Linked DNA regions of Notamacropus eugenii. The protein of the gene in region 1 purifies or fractionates together with the protein of each later gene. This does not show direct contact. Links are inferred from orthologs where the notes say so. Each region holds a gene or a part of one and is shown on either strand. Other genes may lie near its edges.

Region 1 (7,761 bases):
TTGTCCTATCCTGAGGTCAGCTGTCCTGGGAGGGGTAAGATGGAAACATCCTGGGACAAGGGAGAGGTCCAGGGCAGGGACAAGAAAAGCCTCTGTAGAACTTGCTATGTGCCGAAGAACTTTGCATAAATGTCTCATCTGATTCTCATGGGGGGGGTGGGTGCTGTTATCACTCCCATTTTACAGGTGAAGAAACTGAGGCAAAACAGAGGTAAAGTGACTTGCCTAGGGTCACAGTTAGGAAGATACCTGAGGCTAAATTTGAACTCGGATTTTCCTCTGTACCAAGCACTAAGTGCTTGAGCCAGGATTCAAACCAAGCACTCAGATCCCAAATCCAGGACGCTTCCCACTATTCTATGATGTCTCTTGTAAGAGCTGGACCAGATAATTCCAGGGATTACATGAATCTAGGAATATATGTCCTCATCGAAGTTTCCAGAATGGGCTGCCTGACTGAGGCCCAGGGGTCTAGTTCCTTGAGATCTCCCCTATGAGCTCAGTCTGGAACTGCCTCAACTTTTCTACTTTGGGCTTCTGGGGGAACCTCTCAGTCCCCTGGGATTCAGAGGATAAATCGAAGGTCCATGGCCAAGCCAGGGCCTTGAGATAAAATGGATGATCTCACTTGTTCCCCTCCTCCACAGTTTTGGGAACAGCAGACAGCTCCATCCCAGCCCTTCTCCTATCCATGAGAACAGTCTGCTAGGCAAGACCAGCCTCGCCTGTCCTCTGGCCCTCCAAACTGGAAGAACCCTCAGAACCTCCACTCCAGAGACCTAAGGTCCCTCAGAATAACAGCTGCTCACGTTTATATAGTACTCGAAGGTCTTACAGAATGTGAGAGAACTGAAAAGGGACCTCTGAGATCACCCTGTCCTCTCTTAAACACTTAGTTGCTATTGACCTGCTTGTCGCTTATCACACTAAGTTCCCTTTAGAACAGGCTTTTGTTCATCTTTGTGATCCCTAACAGTGGGCACTGAACAGCTGCTGACTGAATTTAGTTCACCCCCCCCACCCTTCCCCCCCCATTTCACAAGAGGTTCCTCCCACCTCCCTCAGTCAAGATATCTCCTCCCCTTGAGAATGCAATCTAGGCCCATCCATGAGACTTCCTTATTCTTCATCTCTCCCCCCCTCCCCCTCCAATGTTCTCTCCTCCCTTCTCCCCCTCCAATGTTCTCTCCTCCCTTCTCCCCTTCCAATGCTCTCTCCTCCCTTCTCCCCTTCCAATGCTCTCTCTTCTCCTTCCTTCCACTAGTGTCTCCCTCCTTCCCAAATCTAGTAACAGCTGACATCTAAAGCGTGTGAAAGCGCTTCACCTACATTTTCTCATTTGGTCCTCCCAACAACCCTGTGAGGTAGGTGCTATGGGCACTATGATCCCCGGTTCATAAATGATAAAAGTAAGGCTGAGGGAGATTAAGTGACTTGCCCAAGGTCACACTACAAAGAGTCAGACAAAATGTGCTCTCTTGCCCTCCCCACTGATAGCTACAAAAATGTCCTTCCCTTTCCCCTTCCAGGATAGTTTCCCTCCTCCCACAAGGGTCTCTAATGCTCCTTGCCCCAGCACCTCACCATTTCTTTCCCAGTCCTTAAATTCCCTACACCCCACCCCACCGGTTACCCCCACAACGCTCCTCCTCCACTGGGCTCTAGGACAGTCCAACAAGCTAAACAGTTCCTCCCTCCATCTCCCTCCGTCCTCAATCCCAATGTGTCCCATCAACCTCCCCAGCAGCACCTGCAGCCCCAGAGCTATCCCCACTCACCCTCTCTCCCATCCTCCTCCTACTCTGCCCAAAGTTTTCTGCCTAATGGTCTCTACCAGTCCAGGGTTTCCTTTCTGGCCCCCAAGCCTCTGTAACAGTCTCAAGATTCACACTTGCTCCTCATCCTCCCTGCTCCCCCTATTCTCCCCAGTGGTTTCTACCTCCTCAGAGGTCTCTTCTCCCCTCCCCTTCTCTCTACTCCCTAGGGTTCTCCCCCCCATTCTCCTCCATGGTCTTTACCTCCCTAGGTTTCTCTTCCCCCCCATTCTGCCCAATGGTCTCTACCTCCCCAAAGTCTCCCCCCCAATTTTCCCCAATGGTCTCTACCTTCCCAAGGTTCTCCTCTCCCCCCATTCTACTCCATGGTCTTTACCTCTGTAAGATTCTCTTCCCCCCTCAATTTTCCCCAATGGTCTCTACCACCCCAAGGTTCTCTTCTTCCCCCCCATTATCCCCAATGGTCTCTACCTCCCCAAGGTTCTCCCCCCCAATTTTTCCCAATGGTCTCTACCTTCCCAAGGTTCTCCTCTCTCCCCATTCTCCTCCATGGTCTCTACCTCCCCAGGGTTCTTCCCCCCCCCCATTCTCCCCAGTGGCCTCCCTCACCCTGGGGTTCTCCCCCACCCCCATGATCTGTCTTCAGGGTTCATACACCCCTCTTCCTTGCCCCCTTCCCCATGTTCTGTCCCCATGAAAGGCTCCACCTCCACGGTCCCTCTTCGGGGCTCACTCACGTTCCGGCCCCCCCCCCCCCCCGCGCACGATGGTCTCGCCCATCGCGCCCCTCTCTCTAGTTGTTTCTACCTGCCCAGGGTTCTAGCCTCCTCAGAGTGCCCACGCACACATACTACCCCAACCTCGCAGTGTACTGTCCCTGTCTCCCCCTACGCACGATGGTCTCGCCCATTGCTCCCCTCTTCCCAATGAGCAGCTCCTCCACAAGGTTCTGCGCCCCTGCCCCCACCCCATCATGGTTTCCTTTCCCCTGGGGGTCCGAGTCCTGCGGAGGCCGCCCTCCTCCCATCCTCTTCTATTCTCCCTCGTCGCCCCCTGTCCTCTTTTCCCTCTCTCTTCCTCCTTCCCCCTCACGCCGCCCTCGGCAGCGTCTCCTCCTCACAGCCGTCGCCATCTTCGGGCCGACTGCCGATGCCCCTTCTGCGCAAGCGTGGCCTCTGCGAGGCCCGCCGGGAAATGGAGTTTTCGGAAGGGTGCGCGCCCCCAAGGAGGAAGCAGAGGCAGTGAGAGGGCTAGGGACGCCGGGAAATGGAGTCCAGAGTAGCCTCCCCGCCCAGGGAGACTCGCCCCGATGCCCCAAGGCCGGAAGGAGACTCTACGAAAACAGAGCCATTGCACCGCGGAGCCCCGGAGGCGTCTCTGAGGATTGTGGGAATTGGAGTTCTCCGCGCTCCGTGGGTTCTCCGGAAGGAGGGCGCCGGGGAGGGAGAGATCCGGGGGGTGGCGCTCCTGCTCTCCTCGTGGTCGCAGAGAGCAGCGTGGAGCGGAATGGGAGGCGGAAGGGAGTGGAGTCTTCCGGGCCTGGGCCGGGCTGCGAGGCGGGACGCTGTCGCGGGTCCTGCACAGGCCGGGGCGCTGCGTCCAGCCGGATGACCCCCCAGGGCCGCTGGAGACCCCTTCCCTGCGCGCTCCAGCCCCCTCCGAGTCACGAGCGCCAGACGCCCTGCTTAGGCCTTGTCCATGGCCCGGGGTCCCCCCTTCCAGGAGAGCACTCGCTGGAGGCCACCACCTGCTGGCCAGCCTCTGCTGTTCCTGCCACCCCCAGTGATTTTCTGTTTTATCTCTCCCCGCCCCCAAGTTCTGTGAACACGGGTGCTGGGAGCGGGGGAAGCCCTGAGACCCAGCTGCTCCAGCGCCTCCTGGTGATACAGAGGAGGTGTTGCAGGGAGCAGGCAGCAGACGCAGTGTTGGAATCCAGGACCTGGGTACCAGGCTGCTTCCTGCGGGGGAGGGGGAGGGGAGGGAGCGAGCTTTACCAAGTGCCTGCTGTGTGCCCGCGGGCTCTGTGCTAAGTGCAGTGAGGCGTTGTGCTCTTAGCCCCGTTTTACAGTGGAAGAAACTGAGGCAGCCCGAGGAGACATGGTTTGCTAGGGTTCGGGGGGCTGGTGCGGGTCTGTGGCTGAATCTGAACCCAAGCCTTCCCCACTCCGGGTCCCATGCTCTCCGTATGCACGTCTCTGGTCTGGGCTGGCCAGCGAGGCCCGGCTGCCCCCAGTGAGGGGCTCCCCTCCCTCCTCCAGAGTCAGCGAAGCGCAGGGAGTCAAGAGTCCCCAGGACTGGGGAAAGCTGGGGAGGCCGTGCATGACCTCGGGGCCTTCCAGCCCCTGCTTCAGGAGCTGGACTTCATGGCCTTGGAACGGATGGTGCCCATCCACTCATTGCCTTGGGGAAGTCTTCACACCCCCTAACTCACCAGCCCCACGTAGATACAGAGAGAATGACGGTCTCTGCCCTCCAGAAGCTTCCATTCTAAGAGAGACCACCAGGGGACATTGGGAAGGTGTGGGTCCACGTCCCTCCTCACACGCTTCCTGGTGGGGTGACCTTTGACAAGTCCCCTAACCTCTCATCTTGAGTTTCCTCATCTGTAAAATGGGACCTATACCAAAGGGAGGCTAGAAGGATCAAATGAGAGAAAAGGGGCTTTGGGAAGCTCAGCTATTTCCCATGATTATGTGTTTGGAGGGAGATGAGGGATGGCACCCCCACCTTTGCAATCAGGAATACTGAGGTTCCAGTCTCTGACATATATACTAGCCTCATCACTAAAGGCAAGTGCTTAACCAGTCGGTGCCCAGGAAATACAAGAATAAAATTTACAGGTGAGTCATTCTGTATTAAGGACCAGGAGTTCTCTGCCTAGAGGAAGTCACTAGCCCAGACCCCAAAATATTCTTTGAGGATGGTGGGAGGGCAAACTTTGGGAAGGAGGAGCCAAGAAAAGCATTCTGTAGGAGGCCACCTAGCAGCTGAGCCTTGAAGGGAGAAGGGAAGGGGAATAATCATTTATTCAGCAACTACTGTATGCCCGGCACTCTGCTATGTACTTTACAAATATTTGAGTCTCCCAACAATCTTGCAAGGAAAGTGCTTTTGTTATTCTTATTTTACAGGTGAGACAATCAGAGGTGAAGTGACTTGCCTAGAGTCAGTAACTTAGGAATTTATGTAGGTGCAGAGGTAGTGTATTCTAGGCATGGCACACAGTGCACCAGGAACATGGCATACTCTGAGCAAAGACCCCAGAAGTGAGAGGGGAAAGAGCTAGGTGATTGTAACTGGAATGGAGTAATGTGAAAAAATATCTGGAAAGGTGGGTTGCAGTTAGATTGTGAATGTGCTGAGCTAAGGAGTGTGTTTTGCTTTCTTAGAAGTAAGAGAGAGCCATGGAAGATTCTTGAGTAGAGGAGGAGCCTAGGCAAATCTGTGCTTTAGGATTGTACCACTATGGAGGATGCATTAGAAGAGACTAATTATAAGGCCAATATGAAAGTCTCCCTTTGAGTTTCTGAGCCTGAGTCACTTTCTCAGCTCCATCCCCATCTCTGATCCTTTATTCCCATACCTGGATCCTGATTCTTTCCTCTGAGGCTGTATCCAGAAATTTACCAGACCACTACTGATCATGTCTTAAATTATTTTGACTCAAACCCATCTCAACCTCTGCTCCAGTGCCTGTCTAGGAACTCGACATCTCTGCCTCTGACTTCATGCTCCCAACTCTGATCCTCATCCTTGCTTCCAAGGACTAGTTTCCATAACTGAACCCCCATCCTCACTTCAGAGTCCCCATTCCCATATCTGGACTTTCATCTCTGTCTCTGAATTTCCATTGCTGTCTGTGATATCCCTGTTTCTGAGTCCCAACCCCCATCTCTGAATCTCTTACTGCAGACTCCCAATTTCTGGCACTGAAATTCCTATCTCTCTGCCCCCATCACCATATCTAAGATTCCACCCCATCCTCAAGTTTCCTCCTTTGTCTTCAAACCCTTGTTTCTGTCTCTGTGTCTGAGAACTCCTTCCTATCTCTGGATTTCTAGTTCTATGAACTCATGTCTGTGAGTTCTGAGCCCCGTCACTGACCCTAAGCCCACATCTCTGTCTCTGATGTCATATATCTGTCTCCAATTTCCTCATCTCTGTCTCTGAGTACCTATCCCAGTTTTTCCATGTAATTCAACATTTATAAGCACCCACTATGTCAGCACCTACTGTGCTAGGCACCAGGGACACAGTGACAAAAGTTAAACGATTCTCTCAAGTAGTTTGTGTTCTACTTGGGGTAAAGAGGAGTGATATACATACAAATAAGTAAAAGACACAAAGTCATTTCAAGAGGAAGAGAATGTTGATAACCAGAGAGATCAGGCACCTTATGTAGGAGGTAGCCCCTGAACTGTGACTTGAAGGAAACATGGGATTTCCAGTCACAGAGGACAGCTTTTGCAAAGGTATGGAGGTGGAAGATGGAATATGATGTATGGGACAAAAAAAAAAAATCTAATTTTGGAAAAAAAAATACTAGAAACACAAATGGAAGAAAACAGAAAATCTTTTATAACTTTAAATGTAGACAGACTAAACAATCCAATAAAATGAAAGAGTAACAGATTGGATAACAGAGCACCGCAATCTGTTGTTCATAAGAAACATGTCTAAAGCAAAGACATGCAGAATATGTAGAGGCTGAAACAAAGTTTACTATGAATTGGTGAATCCAAAAAGAAGGAGTTGCTCAGATAAAGGAAAAACAAAAATCCACAATATATATAGAGATAAAAAAGCAAGGTACATTATGCTATAGGAACCACAGACAACAAACCAACCTCAGTTTTAAACTGACATGTAGCAAATGGTATAGCATCTAACCTCACAAAGGAAAAGTTAACTAAATTGTAAGAAGATTTAGATAGTAACACAGCAATGGTGAGACCTTAAAGTCTCTGGTATTTGGATAAATATTACATAGAAAAATGAAAAAAATTTATAGAATTAAACAAATTTCCAGAAAAATTAAAGCCGAAAGATATGGCATCTTCTGAAAGTGACGGCTAAAGAAAATCCATATATCTCAACACCACAAGAAATTTGTACAAAAATTGACTATATTAAGGAAGTGTAATAGTGTAAATAAATGGGAAAAGATAGAAATAGTAAACACATCCTTTACAGATCATAGCACAATAAAAAATAATTATCAGTTTGGGAATCATGAACAATAGATACGGAATTCACTAGAGACATGATAATGAATGGGTGAGTCAAAGAAGAAATCAGAAAGAATAATGAGAAAAGCAATGCTAATGATGAAACAACATACAAAAATTTCTGCCATGCAACTAAATGAGTCTTCTGTGGAAAAATTATATCTTCAATAAACCATATTAACTTAAATATGGGAAACAGCTAGTGGCCCATTGACTGGAAAGGAGAATGAATGAAGGGACATAATATGAAATAATACTGCAAAGGTAGGTAGGAGACAGATTTTGAAGGGCAATGAATGCCAGGCTGAGGAGAACAAACGGGGATCGACTGAAGATTTCTGATTGAGAATTACATGGTCGGACCTATGTTTTAGTAATATCATTTTGGCATCTGTGTGGAGGATGAAAGAGAAACAAAAGAGAAGAAAAAGTTTAGAGGCAGGGAGACTAATTAGGAGGCCATTACAATAATCTATGCAAGAGGTATCGAAAGCCTGAAATGGGACAGAGGCTGTATGAGTGGAGAATATTTATAGTTCCTCGACTTGTCTTAAAAGTCCCTAGACTCATTGAATCAAATTAATCTCCACTTCCCAACTCTTACTGTCCACATTTAATCAGATACTTTGCCTTGCTGATTCCACCAACACAGTACATCTATCAGTCCTTATGAAGGCTCATGCCAGGAATGTATGCCATCCTGATTTCCATGTCTTAGAATCTATAGTTTCGTTCAATGTTCAACTCAAGTACCACCT
Region 2 (7,968 bases), on another chromosome or scaffold:
TCGATGTACGGAAGGGCATCCATTCCTTCTAAGCCAGGATGAATTCCACAATCCAACTGTGAAAGAATTGGGAAAAAATTCATTAAAATATCTTTGAATAATATATAGTACAAATGTGTCTATGGAAAAAAATGTTTAAGTTGACATTAATTTGTCATGTTTAATATGGACAAAATATAATGGTGACAGATTCTACTCATCTATTTAATACTGACTTCTTAAAATAAATGCAAAGCTAGCTGTTTGTAAGACATTTATGATGACAGAGTGAAAAAATGTAAGTACTCAAGTAAGCACTAAGAAACTAAGTAACTTGTTCGTGGTGACACAGGAAGTATCAAAGGTGGACCCTGAACCTACTCTTCCCAAATGTCTCATTAACAGAATAGCAAATGAACCCTTCCAAAGAATCTGAGGATAATTTGGTAAAAATTTTCTTCATGGACATTAGACATCAGTCTGAATTTCTGATCTTTCGTCAATGAGGATCTACCCATAACCCATTAAAAAAACCAGTTAAGTCTACAATGTTTCTCTTGGAGGTGAGGCAGAATAAAGGAGCTAAGGCTTTGTTTCATGCATTCAGGTTAGACACTAACTTTGTATAATCTACCAACTTCTCTTGGTTGGAGAGGAAGGTTGGCTTAGTCACACTGTCTATCTTTTAATGTATTTTTTCACCAAATGTCTAGAATCCTGTTTGGAACCTTTGCACATAATTCCAACCCACAGAAGCAGAACTGACAACCTCTTTAGAATTTATTATAAAAAAGATAATTGGTTGGCAGATCTAGGTAAACATAATTTATTGCATTTATGAGTAGGATATTCCCAAAATTATGTTAATGCTTTTACAAAAAATAAAAATGACTGTTTTACATATTAACAGATTTATACTACATATGTGTATGTATATATATGTATATACACATATGTATACTTTACAATGATTACCATTATTTTTCTTCCTTTGAACTCCAGAATAATACATGATCTTCCTACTTCTTGTCCAGCCCCACTGTAAAAAAAATAACAAGAAACAAACATAAACATCTGTGCAAATGTATTAAGGCAAAATGTTAAAAGCAGCACAAAACTACACTAATAAATCAAACTATGCTTTCTCTCTGGGTTTCAGTTTCCTCATCTGCAAAAAACGAGGCAGGATTAGCTAACCTCTTTGGTCATTTCCAGCTCCAAAACTGTGAGTCTAAGAATGTGACTTCTCCACTTCTCTAAACTTCAACTCCTTGCCTTCAGTCTCAAAATATAATGAAGCCTTCCTTTATTCCAATACTAATCCCTCCACTTTTGCTGTTTAGATCATCAGTTCTAGCCTTCTTACACCTAACACTCAGTCCACTCCTAGCACCAGATATCCTTTGATCCAGTGACACTGTAATACTTTCTGTTCCTTGAACAAAACACACTAGACTTGGAATTTTCACTAGCTGTTCTTCATGCAAGGAAATGCTCTCCCTCTTTATCTCTGCTTCCAAGTACCAGATAAAATCTCACTTACAGGAAGCCTTTTCATCCTACCTTTTCCCTTCTTTATGTTTTTTCTGCACATCTGAAACTGACTGCCATCAAAATGCGCCTGCTGAAATCTCTCCCTTTCTTTAAGGCCAAATTTGGGTGTCACCAACCTATAATAATATCTGGCATTTATATAGGCCTATAGGGTTTGCAAATATTATCTTATTCTCATAACACTGTGAGGTAGCTGGTGCTATTGTCATCCACATTTTAGAGATGAGGAAACTGAGGCAGAAAGAAATTAAATGAAATGCTCAGGGTCACACAGCTATTACCTGAGTGATGCTACATTTTAACTCAGGTTTTCCTGGTGCGTTACTTTCCTCCTTCCACCTGGACGAGATTTCACCTTCCTCCGATTTCTTCTAGTACTCTGTCTGGATATTTCCTTCCTACATGGCATATTTTACCTAGCATCAGACTTATGTATAGATGCATGATTTCTCTAATTATAATCCAACTTCCCTACGGGCAGAGCCAGTCTAGCACCGTGCCTCACACATACCAGATCACAAACAATTGCCTTCTGTTTACATGTCTCTGGGGAAGGCAAGGACTCCTAACGAAAGACAAGGTACTCAATACCGAACAGAAACTTAACCAGCACTTGTCAGGTAATAATTGCTCGGATGTTTACAGTTCTTTCCGTATAAATTCTTCCTCTGGATTCTCAAAAAGAAACCGACCCTGTGAGAGGCGCGGAGTCAGAACCCCTCGCCTTCACGTGGAAGGAAACTCCAGCTCGGCCAACTCGGCGGGGGGGGGGGGGAGGTCTTTGGCCACCATGTCTTTTAGTCCCCGGTTCACTCGTGGATCACACAAGGCAAACCCTCCTGCCCGCAGGGGAGACAGGACAGAGAGGCCCTCAGAGCTCAGTCGGACGAGGGGTGGGGATGACAATGAACACAAAGGGATCTTGCGGCGCAGAGCCACGCAAAATAGTGTCAAGGCAAGTTTGAGGGAAAAGGCCCTGCCACCAGCGGTGGCCACGGAAGGGATCAGGGAGGGATTCCTGAGCAAAGTGGCTTTTAAGGAAGTGGTAGAGATCCGCAGGTGAATGAGGCCGAGCCCACAGGCGCGGGCAGAGTGTGGGGCTGGGAGGCCCCGCCTCAGGAGCCCCCGCGGCCTTCCCCGAGGCCTCCCCCGCCCCCCTCCCCGGGCTCGGCTGCGCGCAGCTTCTCCCTCCCCAGGGCTCCTTACAGAGGTCGGATCAGTAGCTGGTCGCTCTCCTCGGCCGGGATGGCCGACATCTCTGGGGGCAGGGAAAGGGATGAGGAGAGAGGGGGCCCGACGAGCCGCGACCACCACCACAAAGCGGCGACAGCGCAAAAACGCCCACCCCCGCTGCTCCCACGGCACTGCGACCACCACTTCCGGCGTCGCCGGTCTCGGCGCGAAGACGCTCAGGACTTTACTTCCGGTGCGGGCCAGACCCACGAGGTTTGGCTGCTTCCTTTCAAGCCGGGCAACGCGCGGGGCGGGGCTGGGAAAGGAGTTCTGCGCCTGCGCGGTGGGGATGGTGACGGAGTCGGGGGAGGGGTGAGATGAGAGGAAGGAAGGAAAGGGAAAGAAAAAAAAGCGGAGTGGGAGTGGCTGCCTCCGGCTTCTGGACTGAGACGGAAAACAGTTCCATCCCGGAGCCTCCACCCTTAGCGGTGGCCGTAGGTGAGGACCCTCTCCCCATTCCTCCCCGTTGCGCTGTTCTCTCTCTGTTTCTCCGTTGCACCTCGGCGCGGGCCTTCGGTTTCCCGCCTCCAGCGCCGCAGCCACACGCCAGCCTCCGTCGGCTTGGAATCGTGATTCCGAAGCTGGTCTCCGCGTGGGGGAGGGTTAGGTAGGCCTCTGGTTGCTATAGCGACCAGGAACAAAGGTGGGGAGCGATGGAGGGATGAGGAGAGGGGGGCGAAGGAGAATTGGTACCGCCCTCTTCCGTGGATCTGGGCGGTGGCCGCCGGACTCCGAGCCGGGAGAGACCTCCCGAGAGCCGGCCCGCCCCGCCCTCTCATTTTTACAGAGAAGGAAACTGAGGCTCTTGGGGAGAAAGCCCCCCCCCCCCGTGTTAAGTAGCCGAGCTGGCACTGGAACCTAGGAGCCGCGTGTCTTCCCTGATCCTCAGGGCCTCCGTGGCTGGGGCTCAGGGTGAGAAGGGGGTGCCCGAGGGTTCTGTGTGCTGGGGGGGGCGGTGAGAACCTGGAGGAAACGCTAATGATCACTGCTAGGGCCTTCTCGGGGATGTGAGGGCCCGCCGGGGGGAGGGGCCGTACACCCTCGGGTCCGCCGCCCAGCCTGCACGGACCGAGCGTGCCCGCCGGCCGTCCTTGCCCTCCCCCGGCTCGAGGAGGCCACGCAGGGCGTCCGCATCCACCCCGAATGTGGTGGTGGCGTCAGGGGCTCAGGCGTCTTCCCCGCTGCGTTCTGTTTCTCTTTTAAATCGTGTGCGTTGAAAGGTACCTTGGTGTGTCAGACGGAGACAGCTGTTGTGTAAGTTGTCCGCTTCGGACTTGGGCTCTTCTCCGGTGGAAGGCAAGCCAGGCTGAAGGGAAGAGGGTTCGTGAAGATGGTAGAATACGGCACCAGATTCACCCACAATTTAAAATAAGGCCTCCAAGTGAACTTTGAGAGTCAGAAAAAAATTGAACGGGCCATGAAGGAGCTTTGTAAGAATAAAGCATCATGACCAGATGGATTTACAAGTGAATTCTACCAAACATTTAAACATCAAATAATTCAAGTATTAAATGAGCTATTTGGAATAACAGAGGAGTCCTAGCAAACTCCTTTTAGGAAACTAATATGGTGCCAATATCTAAACCAAGAAGAGCTAAAACAGAAAAAGAAAATTGTAGATCAATTTCTTTAATGAATATGAATGCAAAAATTCTAAATAAAATATTAGCCAGGGGATTACAACAACATATCACAAAGATTATACATGATGCTAGGTTGTGAAAGACCGGACCTAATCATTTGTCTCTTTCTTAGAACAAATCCTGGTGTTGGGTTTTGGGGTGTACAGGAAGAAGGGGCTGAGGAAGGCTATGAGTATCCAAGAAAATGATTATTTAAAAAATTTTCACAGGAGTAGGGGAAGAGACTTTGTTTTACAACGTGTCCTATAACTGTGTCTATGAAGGTACTATTCTGTAGCCTTCTCTGTATAGCTTTGTTTCTTTGCCGAGGATTTGTGTTTACCCTATTCTTAGTGACTTCCTTGCAGCTATGATCTCTGGATAAACATCACTTGACCTATCATTCCGAATTGTTTTGTTGGATTGTGCACTTTTATCATGTTTTCCTTCGTAGTCTGCTGTTGGAATCTCATAGGGTAGATTCTCCAGATTCATTTCGGTGTTTCAAGAGTCTCTGGTTCCTGGTTATGGGGAACAAAGGGGAGGGGTATCTGAGTGAGACAAAAGCCAGGAGCACATCTTCCCTACCTCTCAGTTAGCTTATTTAATTTCCCTTCTTTATTTTTAACCGAGCTAAAAGTCATCACCAGCACTACCTTCCCCTGAGGGCATATTTCCTAATTCTTGCCCCAAACTGGTTTGTTGTAATGGCCAGTGGGGTCTGCCTAGGTACACACCACCTCTAATCTTATTACATAATAGTTGTGTAACTTTGGGACAAATCATTTCATTTCTCTTGGCCTTAATTTCTTCCTTTGTCAAATGAGAGGATTGAACTAAACAATTTCTAAGATCCCTTTCGTTTCTATTTTTTTTAAATTTCCTTTCTCTCCCCAATGGGGTGGACCCATGGTAAAGAGAAAAAGTAGATTTGTGTTCATCTAAAAAAAGGAGGATGATTCAGAAGTGAAATGTTACATGTACTTTCAAATGTCATTGTATCATTGGTTTTACTTAACTGTTTTACCATGTTCTGAGAGACTTCTCATGACGTGAGAGTAAATTGTAAATATATGTAATATAAACACAAAGTACATCAAAAAGTCCAAAAGTGACCCCCCCCAAAATCCCATGAATCTAATTACTACTATTAAAGAAAAACTCTTTAAAAAAATAAAATTTTATTGATATATTTTGTTTTTATGTAACCCACATCCACCAGTTATATGCATCTCCTTTGCCCTCCCTCAATAGAAGTGTTAAAAAAAAAAAAACTGTACATGGTGACCAAATGGGATTTGTACTGGGAATGTAGGGATAGTTTAACATAAGGAAAACTATTAATATAATTGATTATGTCAATAACAAAAGTGACAAAAAGAATATAATTATATCTGTATTTGCTGAAAAAGCTTTTGACAAAATGCCACACTCATTCCTATTGAAAACACTTGAAAGCATAGGTATAAGTGGATTTTTTCCTTAAAATGGTAAGAAGTATTACCTAAAACCATCAGTAAGCATCATTTTTAATCTGGGTAAGCTAAAAGCCTTCTCAGTAAGATCAGGAGTGAAACAACGATGCCCATTATCACCAGTATTATTCAGTATTATATTAGAAATGCTAGTAAAGAGCATTTAGAGGAATAAAAGAAGTTGAAGGAATCAGAATGAGCAATGAAATAAAGCTGTTTTTAAAGATGAAAGGATGATATACTTGGAAAATCCTAGCAATTCAATTAAAAAGTTAGTTGGAATAATTATTGATTTTAGCAAAGTAGCAAGATTTAAAATAAACCCACGTACATCATCAGAATTTCTTTATATCATCAACAAAAAGTGCAAGAATAGATACCCCACTTAAAGAAATTGTAGACAGTACAAAACACCTGGGAGTATATCTACCAAGAAAAACCCCAAAAGTACATGAGCAAAAGCATAAAACAGTTTTTATACAAATAAAGTCAGATTTAAATGATTGGAAAAATATTAATTGCTCCTGGGTGGACAGAGCCAGTATAATAAACATGACAATCCTACCCAAATTAATCTACTTATGCAATGCCATTTCAATTAAATTACCAGAAAATTATTGTGTTGAGCTGTAAAAAATAATAAAATTCATTGGGAAGAACAAAAATTCAAGAATATCAAAGAATTAATAAAAGAAAAACATGGAGGAGGCTTAATGATACCTGATCTGAAACTGTGTAATAAACTATATAGTAAAGCAATAAATCAGAACTGTCCTGTACTAGGAAAAGTGGATGAGTGCAACAGAGCAGACATGCAGTACTCAGTGAATGATCAAAGTAACCTTGCGTTTTGACAAATGCAAAGATTTAAACTTTTAGAATAAGTATTCACTATTTGGTAAAAATTGTTGAGAAAACTAGAAAGCAGTCTGTCAAAAATTAGGTGCAGACAAATATCTTCTGACATTTACCAAGATAAGGTCTAAAATGCATACAAGACCCTGATATAAAAGGAGATGTCATAAGAAAATTAGAACAGGGAACATAATGCCTGTAAGACTTATAGAAAGAAGAATTATGAACAAGAGATAGCATTTTGATAATGTGAATTGAATAGTTTTATTTTGTTACATTTAAAAGGTTTTGTACAAATAAAATCATTGTAACCAAGATTAGAAGGAAAGCAGAAAATTGGGGGAAAATTTCTATAGGCAGTTTATCAGGTAAAGACCTCATCTCAAATATATAGAGAACTTTATCAAATTTATAAGATTGTGAGTCATTCTTCAATTGATAAATGGTTAAAGGATGTGAACAGGTAGTTTTTTGATGAAGAAATCATCATTTATATAGACATAAAAAAATGCCCTTAATTATTATTGATTAGAGAAATGTAAATTAAAACAACTTTGGGGTATTGTCTCACTCCTATGAGGTTGGCTAAAATGATAGGAGAAAGTGACGAGTATTGAAGGGGATGTGGAAAAATGGGAAATCCTTTTAAGTACTGATATTTTTGTAACCTTGGAATTATCCTCAATAGCCAATCAATTGCCAAATCCTTTTAACATTTCTCATCTCTTCCCTTCTCTCTTTTCATATGGCCATCATTCTAGTTAAAGGCCTCATCAGTTTTTATCAGGACTTTTTGTAATAGCTATCAGTTATAAAGGGCCTACTATGTGCCAGGTGGGGTGTAGGGTTTGTTCAGGGAGGTCTAGTACCTTTGTTGTGATGACTTCCAAGCCCTTTTCAGGACTCTTCAACTTTGGTGTTCACCTGTTCCACCCAACTCTCACCTGTGGCTCCAAGAAGCTTCAGCATACACAGTGGCCATATCCTGGTAAACCGTTTCAGCAGATGGGCCAAACCAGGTTGAGGGTAACCAAGGGGTCTCAAACCCATTGGTGTTTTAGGGAAGTGTCTACTCCAAGCATGTGAAGACTTCCCCTGGTGGAATGGGCAGATGAGAACAGTTTGTTCCAGTGGCCATGAAGGCAGCTGAGGCAGGCGATGTGGAACACTTAGAGCTTGGTTAGACACCAGAGATGCTGTCATCTACTGCATCCTCAGCTGTCACCAGCCATCTTGATTCTGTACTGTCA

The links.
Region 2: the proteins of SYMPK (region 1) and CPSF3 fractionate together in Homo sapiens (co-fractionation; 6 studies listed by BioGRID and IntAct, with this or other methods). This does not show direct contact. The link is inferred for Notamacropus eugenii from reciprocal best matches to the Homo sapiens genes SYMPK and CPSF3.

Annotation. Positions count from the first base shown.
Region 1 is NC_092876.1:27,829,709-27,837,469, forward strand, and holds the start of SYMPK (symplekin), read right to left. Parts: upstream 3,002-7,761; 5' UTR 2,908-3,001; coding exon 2,896-2,907; intron 269-2,895; exon of another isoform or gene 250-268; intron 1-249. UniProt on the Homo sapiens protein: Scaffold protein that functions as a component of a multimolecular complex involved in histone mRNA 3'-end processing. Specific component of the tight junction (TJ) plaque, but might not be an exclusively junctional component. May have a house-keeping rule.
Region 2 is NC_092872.1:549,754,458-549,762,425, forward strand, and holds the start of CPSF3 (cleavage and polyadenylation specificity factor subunit 3), read right to left. Parts: upstream 3,039-7,968; 5' UTR 2,790-3,038; coding exon 2,740-2,789; intron 2,154-2,739; exon of another isoform or gene 2,019-2,153; intron 1,932-2,018; exon of another isoform or gene 1,815-1,931; intron 1,019-1,814; coding exon 955-1,018; intron 57-954; coding exon 1-56. UniProt on the Homo sapiens protein: Component of the cleavage and polyadenylation specificity factor (CPSF) complex that plays a key role in pre-mRNA 3'-end formation, recognizing the AAUAAA signal sequence and interacting with poly(A) polymerase and other factors to bring about cleavage and poly(A) addition.